Caenorhabditis elegans: one gene and its partner. The protein of the gene in region 1 interacts with the protein of each later gene in a pairwise test. Each region holds a gene or a part of one and is shown on either strand. Other genes may lie near its edges.

Region 1 (3,922 bases):
TAGTGTCCCCATTTCCATTAAGATAATTACAATAAATTCTATATAATTTCGCTAACGTTTCACAAATGTCAAATATTTGCAAATGTTGTGTAAAAGGTGGAAGTAACAAACTGTGGAGATATGGTCATTAAAAAGTAATTTTAATTTATATTGGTTGTTCCCGCAATTTAACGGAATCAGTTAATCGTTAATCGGTTCTATAAGAAACCAATTAAAACTCGAAAACGATAGTGATAGATCCCATACATACATAATTCAACATAATCTTACATTGCTAAATATAGGGATGTCAGAAACCGTGGTTTAATGCTACACAGCAACGGCTTCCGATATGTCTGCCTATCTCATTTTTCCGCATTTTTACGGGAACTTCGGCGGTTTTTAATTTGACAGTAGATACAACGTTAGACACAAAAATGACTATTTTATTTATTTGAAGAAAGCTTATTTTAGTTAATCAAATGCCTAAAATGTTTTTGGATGCTGTTGATAACCACCCAGACTCAAATATTGTGCACATGTTTTGTTTTGGAAAATATTATAATTGAAATTATTTATTGGACAACATTCAGTTCTGTTCAGGATATGGAGAAACGAGCTTGAAAGTTGCTGCACAGTTTTCCGCCACAATGCAGAATGATTTGTGGGTGATGTTTCTCGGATAATCATATACAGCTGTGAAGTCAAGATATACTTCAGATGATGGAGTTGGAGGATATTGAACTGCTCTCAGTACACAATTTGGTTCGTTGGTCTGAAAATTAATCTGATTCAATGGAACAGGAGATTTCTTTTTTTTTAATCCAAAGTATTCAGTTTTCTCACCTTCTGAACGTCAATCACTAAAACAATATCCTCCATTGAAATGACAGTAACTGCTTTCTTCTTTTTATCTCCAACAGTTGAATCCATATCCAATTGATTTGCTTGGAAATAAGTACTGAATGCAGTATATGAATCATATTGTTGAGCTTGTGAAAGTGGAACAAATGTAACAGAACTCTCTGATACTCTATTATCCAATCCAACAACAGTTAGGATATTTCCGGTGCTGATGTATCCTTGGTAGACAAACTTAGACATTCGGTAAACAGCTTTTGGGTTCTCAATGTATCCTTCAATTACAAAATAGTTATCGAAAATGTCACTGTACCAGCCGGAGTGAGCAATCGACAGTGAAATCTGAATTTTTTTAACTCAATACTTAAACTATTTCTGAATTCAACTCACTCTCTCATTTGAAATCATTGTCTGGGGTGTTCTGTAGGAATTGACTCGCAAATCGTTCAACATGAAATATTTCATATCGGGGTTTCCAAGATGAGTAACTGTTGTGTTCAGCACTAGAATAAATAAGTTTTTCATTAGTTTTAGTATTATTTTACTCACTTCTTTCAAAATGAACTACTATTCTGAATGATGAATGCATGTTTACACTTTTTGTGATCACTTGGAATTTTGTAGTCGTGTTTGGGAAAATGTAGAAATGGACAAATTTTGCAGATCGGCTGAAAACAAATGCGAAATTCGAAAAATTAGAAAAATTGATGGAGAGAGAAAAATCGAGCTTACAAACGACTAACTAGGGACTATTTTTTGGTCACCAGATAGTTATGGGTCGAATGATATATTTTCTGAAAGCTTGAGTCTCAAATAGTTTGAGGAAAGAAACTCAATTTGAATAACCTCAAAAATGACATGTCGTGAAGATTCAAATGTTGAACCTGTGTTTTCTTGAACACATTCCTATTTAAAACGTTTTTTTCTGGTTAAGACAGGTTTTATAAGTTTGAAATTTTCATAAACTGAATAGCATTAGTAGTTTTTAAAAGGCTATCATAATGACTGAAATTTTTGAAAATTGGAAGTTTGGGAGGTTAGTAATTTTTGTTTAATTTTAAGCTCGTTTTGTTGACGGAATAAAACATGCGTGCTTCTTAAAATGTTAAGAATAATAGGATTTACCTTGACACTATTGTTCTTGTTAATTGTTCGTCAATTACGGTAATCATGTCATTATTTCCATTCAATCCGTTTTCCAGTGTAACATGAGCATAAATCATTGGCGGTGCGTTTACCTGAAGGTTAGAAAAATTTGATTTTTGTAAGCTAGAATTTTGGAAGCGAAATTGAGAACTTACTTACTACTGAGCAACTCAAAAGAAACCAATAACTTACATTGTAGGTACAACTGAAGTTTGGTGGAATTTGAACTGTGTCATTAGCACCCGCTGGTATTGTCACAAACTCTCCAGCTATGATTGGCTCAGGGATCTGAGTACATTCTGAAAAATGTATAGTTAGATTTATAAGTCTTTCAAAAAATGTGTGTATCTTACCCAAAGCTGTTGAAACTGTGACAAGTGCAAGGAGCCAAAACGCTACAATCATCTTTGATGACAAAGTGGAAAGTAAATTATCAGATTGACTTTGAGCATTTATAGTAAAATTTATTAGCGTTATCACTGTATTCAAACGCAACACCCCCAGCTATTCTCGAGCTGTGATATCACTGTCGTGGAAAAATGATATCATTTTATTGACCTTCTTAGTCTATTGGTTTCTACATTTACAGATTAAAATTTTTCCTTGAGAACAATTGATAAGACCAATCGAGAGGACAAAAATTGCACGCACACTTAGTTTTGCAAGCAGATCAAAAATAAATGCATTTGAATATTTTCTAAAATTATTTCAAGGCATATGTCACTGTTAATCAAGATCGGCTGAACTTTTCTGTATGAAACCGATTTTTAAAATCATTCTCTAGGAACAAATCTGAAAAGTTATGTTGAAGACGAACGCCGGAACTCTTTAACTCGTTTAAATGATTTTTTTCCAAGTGCACAATTAGTTTCATCAATTCTAAGGTTTTGTAGGAAACGTCGTTTACTGCCTCCATATCAAACAGCACTCGCAACCTGTAAGATAATAAGAACAAACAAATCCATAACAACTTGTTGGGTTTACATATACATTATATACAATAGGCAGTCGAAGAGAACCCGCAAGGCTGTTTGGAAAAATTAAAAAATTTTCATTATTATTTCGAAAATCTTAACACTTTTTGGTCAAGTTTAGCGAAACCCCGTTTTTAGAGCAATTTTAGTGGTCTCCAAATAAAAAAACAATGGAAATCTGGATGTGTTGATTTCCCCACGCATCTGAAAATTCTTTTTTTTTCAATGTTTTAAGAAAGCGTTTGCGAATGCTAGTTTAATAGCTGGGGCAAATCATTAAAAAAAATTTGAAAAAGATGGTTGCGTAGAGATATACGCCTTGAACCAGTGAGCAATTTTATTTATCTATTCATAATTTTTTTTTAATTTAGTATAAAATTTACATAATTCATACTGAAAAAATAAATTAATTTTTTTGTCGTGACTTCTTATTTTTTTAAAAATAAAACACGTTCCAACACGTAAATTCTTATAAAAAAATACCAAAGTTTCAAATTGAACATTAGTTCTTAATTTCACAAGAATAGTTTCTTTGGTTTTCTCAAGAAAAACTTCTAGTCTACAAAGGGAAACGAAAGATGTCCACGTAAGTTATAATGCGGTTGTTTAATTTGAAGTTAGAGTAGTTAAAGTTATTATTTAAAGTTAGTCTTGCTATATAAATTTAAAATAAGAACATTTCAGAAAGGAAAAAAAGACTAAGAAACCGCACAATGTCAAGAGCTCGGTAGTTCCACCAAAAAAATGGAAAACCAAGAAGAAGGACAAGAAGGGGACCGGGAAGTTGCGCAAAACCGCTTCGAATGCAAGTTTGAAGAAGCATGGCTCCACACACAAGATTAAAAAACCAGAGGACATCACTTCCGATGGTTGCCCACTTCTTCTGACGGCTTCCGATACTTGTGCCAACATATACGCTGAACAGCTGTCCGCTCCGAACAATCTTAGTGCCAAAACTTCAA
Region 2 (7,906 bases), on another chromosome or scaffold:
TACCAGTAAATTCAAGTAAAGGGCTGTTCCCATAGATTGGAAGTCGTTCGGAAATTTGACGTTGTCTTTTGCTCACATTTAGCACTTGATCTTCGACTTTTGGATTGACTCTTCGAGCAAGCATTCTATATTCGAAATACTTCCATTGCTTTCACATTCCAAGAAGTTCAACGATCCAATGTCTTTAGATTTAATGCTAACAAAAAATAAAACGAATATTTAATAATCCATCAGGATACAATAGAAAACCTCGTAGACAACATAAACTGAGATACAATAATGAAAATCTGGGGATATGTGGTGAGAGCTCATCTAAATGTTCGATGCCCACGATCTCTTCCACTCTTTCCAGCATCACGTGCAGGCTCTGCTATTCTTGATGCCTTTGGAAGTTCTTCTTTTTTTTCTTTTCGATCATCTTTGCGATCTTTTCGAGAGGACGATGTTGATTTTGAAGGCTCCTCTAGATCAAACTCAATCGCTTTTCGAGAGCCTTTCTTGTCATCTTTCTTGGGAACTGGGTCGGGAAGCTGAAATAAATCACATTTTCGAAAGGAAAATTTTGAAAATAGCTTGAGAAAACGTTAATATCTTACCGCGGGTCCTGCCACTTCAAGCTTCTCATCGGACGGCTTGCTTTTTTGCTTCTGATCTTTGAGAATCTTTTGTTCTTTCTGGTTTTCTCCATTTTCTCGCTTCCTTTCCTTATCCTTTTCTCGTTCCTTATTATCCTTCTCCAACCGTTTCTCTTTTCCTGTTTCTTTGTCTTTCGATCGTTCTCTTCTTTTCTTACCTTCTCCTTTTTCAGATTCTGTGTCCTTCGGAGATTCTTTCTCATCTTTCTTTGAAGGTTCATCAGACCGTTTTAAGCGATCAACAATTCGAGTCTTCTTTGCAGGAGGGGGACTTGGAGTCTTCACTTCACCATCTTCAGTTGTTGGCTCTTTCTTTGATTCTTTTGATCCGTGGGATGATTTCTAAAATTATAATAGTTAGTTCAGTTCTGTGAATTTTAATAATTTATGTACTCACTCCAGGTCGCTTCTTTCTCTCTTTGTTATCTACTGTAGCTTTCTTCTCTGTTTCACTTCCATTCTGATGTACTTCATCATCTTTCACCACTTTCTCCGAACTCGTCGTCCCATTTTTCTTCGAATCTACTTTAATCTTCTTATCAACTGGTTCCCCATCAGCTTTATCTTTCTCATCTACCACTTTTTCTTTTTTCTTTGGTTTTTCAGCACCGACCGACACCTTCTTGTTGGGAACTGGGGCGTAATCCGAATTTTGAGCATAAATCTTCACAGTTCTCATCTTGAGCTTTCCAACATACGAGGCTGCTTTTAATGATAGATCGTCACGTTTTCCCTTCTCTCGATCCTTCAACTTGGTTACAGCTGTTTCCATTGTGGCGACTGCATGTGATATGACTGGAAATCCAGATGTCAACTTTGTCATCATAATCAATGAATTTCTGATAAGTACATAGTCAGCATCATCTTTTGTGAAGACTGTCTTAAACATGGCAGTAAATCGAATTTGCCATCTATAGCATAACTTTCGGAAAGTTTGATATTCAATTGCTTGTTTTGTGATCATTCCTGGAAATCCTGCACATTCCTTCTCGAAAACTTCTTTCTCCGAGTGCCATCTTTGAACAGTGCAGAGCAGAATTTCAAAGAAGCATGCCAGCGAGTTGGCTTCGTTCTCGGTGAGCCCCGCGATCAGAGGAATTATGTTCTCGAAGAGTCTGTCAATGATCAGAACCGATGGGAAGAATGGAGTCCGCATTTCGTGAAGCATCATGAAGAATTGACCACAGAACACTGCATCAAGTTCGGAGAATATGGCACGTGGCAGGAGGCATTGTTGAATGAGAGCTTCCAATACAGCTGGAAATATTGGAAAAGTATTAAAGCGGATTTCATGCATAAACTTACAATTATGGAATTGCTCATCAATCAACGAGTCTTTCTTGTTCAGAAGCCATACTTTACAACGTTCCACGTGCTCAATTTGCCTCTTCTGCTCTTCTCGAAGCTTACTCTCCAACTGTTTATCAGTTTTCTTAGCTTTTCCCTGAAATAAAAAATAGTAGATTATTTATAGATGAAAACTAACATGACTGTCTTCTCTTGACTGTTTCTTTAAAGCATCAAGTGTCCGTTCATATGCAGCTGTCGGAACTTCGATATCATACATTGTCAGCATCCAGAAAACAGCGAAGAATCTGAAAGAAAAATTTAGCAAACTGGGCGAAAATTTGATAAAAACTCACTTCACAGGTATATTCTCCTCCATGCCAGGTTCAGATGCTTTCAGCTCATCCATTAACATTTCCACTTGTGATTCCAACGCACTTGTAAACATTTCAGTCTTTTGCTGTGTATCCAAACGAGTCTTTTGTCCATCTTCAACAGCAGCTTTCGAGATTTTTTTAGCCGCATCATAGTGATCTGATATTCTTGAGAAGAAAATAGGTCTCGCCAGACACATTGTGGCTTCCATTCCAAGTGAATAATCAGATAACAATTCACGAACAGTTGGAACTCGTTTCGAAAAATCATCATTTTTCAGATAAACACTCAAAAATGAAACGAGTTGTTGAAATGTGTCACTACACTGATCAACCATTTTTCCAACAAGTTTCAATGGAAGAGTAGAGCTTTCATTGTAGACAATATGCTCTTTTTGTTGAGCAACTGAAATTGCCAATCCAACAGCCAAATCTCCTTTCAGAAGTGCATCACGTAGACGTTGAGCAGCTTTTCTATTCTTTGTTGCCGTTGAATATCCACCAGCTTCCTGTTTCAACAAGTCTCCACCTCCAAGTGCTTCAATTTGTTCTTTCGTTGCTCCACTGATACTCTCGATCCATGACATATTCTGGATAATTTCTCGAAGAAGAAGCATATCGTAACTTTTGCAAAGTTTCAATTGATTTAGCACATAGTCTAGCATTCCGTTCAGTTCGAGTGGATATCTTCGATAGAGAGATCCAACCAGTGTTCCAAGAGCTTGCAGCCAAGGAGAGATGGTAGCATCAGTGGATTTGAGAGCTTGTTTCGATGGATCAGCCAATTGGGAGATGATGCAATCTGGAATAAATGGAAAACCTTCAAATGAGAAATATTTAAAATAGATTTGAAAAAGTTTGACTTGTTTACAAGTGAATGAAAAAAACGAGAATTTTTTCACATAGCTAACTGAAAGACTCAAAAATTTAAAATGTATCAATTTTTCCATAAAATTTTTTTATGAATTTATATGTTAAAATCTTAAAATTTCTCAAAAAAAAACGTTCGAAATTTACAAAACCTTTCAGTTTTCGTGGTTTTAACAAAATAATTTTTTGGACGTTTTTTCTCGTTTTCTAAAAAAAATTGTTTTAAATTTTGTTTGAAAACTTACAAGTGAGAACATCAAATTCAAGACTTGTCAAATATCTCAAACTATCCACAACAGGTCCAATGAAATTATCAAAAGTTTGCACTTGACTGAGGAGATATGAGAGTACTGTAGATGGATGTATATGACACAATTTTCCCAATTGTCTGCCCATCATCTTTACAGTTTCCTTCGAAAGACGCTTCAGAACATATTTTGTTCGTCCATGAATTTTCCCCTTCATTATATGCATTTCTGGATGTCTTGAAGTTTCAAGATTCCATTTTGAATACATCCAATATCTCCAAGAATACGGGAAAAGCTCAAGGAGCTGCCAAATCTCTTCACTAAGTGCAACATTTGTTTCGGACAGTGTGAGAGATGGTAGAAGACATTCGGAGACGACTTCCACGAAATTTTGATTTACTGAAATAATGATATTTAATTTTGAAAATGGTTGTTTTTTTTTCTTCAAAAATACGGTGCTCGATCTCGAAGTGACAGATTTACATAAATTTTAAAAAAGTACAAAAGTACAAGGAGTTCTGTAGATACGAACTAATTTTTCCTAGTTTTTATCGTTTTTTCAAAATGTTTTGTTAACCTTAATATCGGGGCGAAAATCGCAAAATTTCACATTTGAAAAAAACCTACGTTTATCATCCTTCGGTAGCAGATCCTTGTCAACTTTTCGGTAGTAGGCAGTCAAAAGTCGAACAATTTTGATATTTGTTGAAGCACGAAAGGCTATTCTAGGTCCCAAATAGGCAAGTACACTTGACAATTTTCCAAGATCTTCCCAACTTTCGATTGGTCTTAATCCATTTCCCATATCATCTAACACTGGTTTCGTCGATTTTATCAAATCTCCAAACAAGTTCAGCGAACAATTTTTCTTGTAAAAATCGTTAATTGATTTCTCAATTATTTTGCAAAGAGCTCTACAGAGTCGTGGACTAGCTTGAACTGCATAGTATTCTGGGAGACGATCAATGAGCATTTGAGCTTGTTTCCAGTTTCCACTTTCTAATAATGCACACGTTAAACCAAGCTTCTGATTTGATGAGAGAACATATTCCTCATTAAACCCTTCAGATAATTTTATATCCTCGTCTTCTTGAAGTTGGATTACTGTAGTGAAGGAAATCGTTTGCGTTGTCTGAAATGTTTTTAAAAATTAGATAAATATTCAATTTTCCGACCTAACCGCATTTCCACCTATTCCATTTTCATCGAAACCTCTTGAATCCATAATTGGCATTGAAGCTGTAGAAATTGTTTCTGCTTTTGATGCTCTTTCTTGTGCATTCTGCATTCTTGAACGGTGCCCTTCTTTAATTGCTTCGGCTTTTGGAATCATCTATAAATATTAATTAATAATTTCGAATAATTTAAAACGGGACTCCTCACATATCCTAAAATCTTCATCATATCGATCATTTCATGTTGAATGAGCGAAGCTGTCAGAACGTACAACGAATATGGCGTTTTCTTCTTTTTATCCGATTGATAGAATGTGAATTTGAAGCCCAGAAGTGCACACAGATAGTCACGGACCACGTCAATTTCTTTGAGAAGTGCAATGAAAAGGAGCTGAAATTAAAAATAAATATTTTTAAAATACAAATGAGCTGGATTCGTTTCAAGATTTCTTAATCTCATCATTTGAATTTCCAATTGTTTTATTTGTAAAGGATAAACGGAAAAGTTATAAATTCCAATTTTTCTCTATTGTTGAACTTTCAAATAAGCTCCGCCCACATCATGGTTGACCACCAAAACATCATGAATTTATGCAGATTCTTTATTTTACCTTCTGCCTCGGGAAATTCTCGAAAACTTCCAATATAACGTCAGTGACACGATTTGGATCCAAATTGAACTGTCCAATTAATGAAAGTACTCGATGCTTCAGAATCTTCGCATGTTCATTCTCATTCGCTGAGCTCTCGGCTGCTTCCATAAGCTCTGTGACAAGTTTTGAGTAACCTTCAGACTCTTCTCGAAATAAGTTGAATTTGGCCTGTTTGAAACTGAAGAAAAATGAGTTTTTGCAGAAATTGAATGAATTTAACTTACTAGACTTTTGTTTTCAACCTAATTAGTGCCTTGCTGTGATCATCTTTTTTGAAACAATCCAGCTCGAGGCGGAGGATTTCTTCGGGGATTATCTGAAAAAAATTTGGTATTTTTACAGGAAATTTCCAGTTAAAATCTCATTTCTTTGTTAAACAATTTTGGATTAAGTTAGAATATTAGTTTTTTTCAATCCTGAAACTACAGGTTAATTTTATTTTCCGCCAATAATACTATCTTCCATATAAATAAGCCTTTTTTGAACCTTGAGCTTTAAAAGTTGAAAGTTTTATTACCGTGTTAGTGAGTAGATTCACAAAGGATTCAAAATTCTCTTTGGAAGTGCTCGCGTTGTCAGCGAACTCGCTCTCCGGCTCGGTGAGCACTAACACGTCGATCAGCTCCGAACTGATGGCATCTCGATCTTTCTGAAATTAATGATTTCTAATTTGTTCAAGATTTTAAATGAACGAAACCTTCTCTGTGAGTATCCTTTCATAAGCCTTCATCGGTGTGATTTTCATGTGAACAATATCGAGACATAACTGGGTTAATGTTTCGAAATCGTTCATTTCTCTGTAATTATAATAATTCAATCAGAAACTAAAAAAAGAACATTAAAAGGAAATATGAGATTTCAAAAATTAAACTTTTTAAAGCGAGTTGGCACTTTGCCAGCCGAGGCAAACAAGAGTGAGAACGCGTGGACGGGAAATCTAGAGTTGAGATTTCTAGGCCATCGAGTGTGATGAGGGCATCTGAGCTCAGAAACATAACCAATTATCGGGTATTAGGATGCCGGACTTATTTTTTGTTACGCTTTATGATAGGCAGGATCTTTTGAAGGAGAGTATGACATTTTTGAATTCGGTGAGTTGTATTCTAGAGTGGTTTTCTAAATGTATTTTTTCTTTGGTAAAATAAATAGCTATATTCATAATTTTGAACTTTTCTAATTCCAGGAATGGCCCAGAAGCGATGGATCTCGTGAGCATTCACAGAAAAAATCATGCCGTCAGTCCCCTCCAATGTCGTTTTTGTTGCTCAATAAGGAGAATGACGAGATACTAGGCCACTCAAGAATCACACATCTTCCAAATCGGTGAGTAATTGGAATAAAACAATAAAAATTTGAAACTTTCGGATTATATTTCAACAATTAGAAAATTTGATAACTCACTAAAATTTCAGGAAAAAATATTTAAAAAGTTAAAAAATTTTAGCCTGAAAATAAAGGAAGCTATCATAATTCTCAAACCATTCTCCCAAAATTTGTTAATTTTCAGTGACCATGCCTTATGGATTGAGTCAGTGATGATCAAGAAGGATCAACGTGGCCTTGGACTCGGGAAATTCTTAATGAAATCCACAGAAAAATGGATGACGGAAAAAGGTTTCAATGAAGCATATCTCTCAACTGATGATCAATGTCGATTTTATGAATCTCTTGGTTATGAGAAATGCGATCCGATTGTACACTCGACAACAGCCACTTGCATCTTTCCAGCCATGAATCATTTTCAGGTAAATAGGCTTTTGAAGTTTTCAGAAATACTAAAAAATCATGTTTCTTGAAAATTCACAAAACTATACTCAGATCAATCTGATTTAGTTCGGAAATTTTGGAGATCCATCTTCAGATTCAGTCTAGAAAAATTGAATTCCTTAGTAGAAAATGCACAATTATTCAGATTTTTCTATAATTTATATCATGTTAATTTCAGAACGCGGCCGCATCCAACCCGTCCTTCCTATCAAAGATCGCACAGCCTTCAGCCTCGTCAACAGTCTCAGCTTCTGCTCCACCACCACCACCACCGCCTCCGATGGCTCCAAAAATGGTCACCAGATCCACGTCCCCGATTGTGGACGTCAACACGATTGATCACCAGTACATGAGAAAATGGTTAAAACCAACTGAATAATATATTGAGAAAAGAATACGCAAATATGAAATAAGAATTTCTACTTTTTATTGATTTTCCGCATAATGTAAAGTAATTTTAAGAATTACAAGAATAAAATAATTGAATGAGAGGGCGTGGGTGTGTTTTCTTAAAAACAACAACGAGTGAAGGGGGAATTACAGAAAAAAAGAAATAAAAAATGGGATAGAGATGGGGGTGATAGGTGGAGATGAGGGGATATGAAAGGTAGAAGAACCTGGTAAAATGGTCTGACGGGGCTCAAAGGGAAATGGGGCTCAAAACCAAAAAAGAATAAAAAGAAATTACCTAAATGAGAGAAGAAAGGCTACTAGACGATCTGTGTTTGTTGTGGGGAGAGGAGGCATGGGAGATAGTGGATAAAAACGATGATGAAGCTAACAAAAATAAAAACGAGTTGATAGAAAAAATAATGGGTCGCCTATTGCGAAAACGGTTCAGATTGGGAAAACAACAGTAGGTACAAAACAGCCATTCTGTGCATGTATACAAGGAAT

The links. The genes of interacting proteins can lie anywhere in the genome.
Region 2: the proteins of C17H12.8 (region 1) and thoc-2 interact in a two-hybrid assay, tested with the Caenorhabditis elegans proteins (one large-scale study listed by BioGRID).

The regions. Positions count from the first base shown.
Region 1 is NC_003282.8:6,817,194-6,821,115, reverse strand, and holds C17H12.8 (CUB-like domain-containing protein), read right to left. Parts: upstream 2,400-3,922; 5' UTR 2,392-2,399; coding exon 2,340-2,391; intron 2,286-2,339; coding exon 2,179-2,285; intron 2,079-2,178; coding exon 1,966-2,078; intron 1,509-1,965; coding exon 1,390-1,508; intron 1,344-1,389; coding exon 1,231-1,343; intron 1,183-1,230; coding exon 826-1,182; intron 755-825; coding exon 569-754; 3' UTR 541-568; downstream 1-540. Other genes in the region: C17H12.6 (CUB-like domain-containing protein), read left to right, coding at 1-26; C17H12.5 (Tyrosine-protein phosphatase domain-containing protein), read left to right, coding at 3,539-3,546, 3,645-3,922.
Region 2 is NC_003281.10:6,366,175-6,374,080, reverse strand, and holds thoc-2 (THO complex subunit 2), read right to left. Parts: upstream 6,040-7,906; 5' UTR 6,036-6,039; coding exon 5,940-6,035; intron 5,892-5,939; coding exon 5,760-5,891; intron 5,559-5,759; coding exon 5,467-5,558; intron 5,421-5,466; coding exon 5,201-5,420; intron 4,981-5,200; coding exon 4,798-4,980; intron 4,748-4,797; coding exon 4,595-4,747; intron 4,547-4,594; coding exon 4,042-4,546; intron 3,814-4,041; coding exon 3,412-3,813; intron 3,099-3,411; coding exon 2,279-3,098; intron 2,231-2,278; coding exon 2,122-2,230; intron 2,080-2,121; coding exon 1,941-2,079; intron 1,893-1,940; coding exon 1,033-1,892; intron 978-1,032; coding exon 597-977; intron 531-596; coding exon 309-530; 3' UTR 177-308; downstream 1-176. Other genes in the region: C56G2.15 (N-acetyltransferase domain-containing protein), read left to right, coding at 6,259-6,333, 6,426-6,565, 6,750-6,987, 7,188-7,388.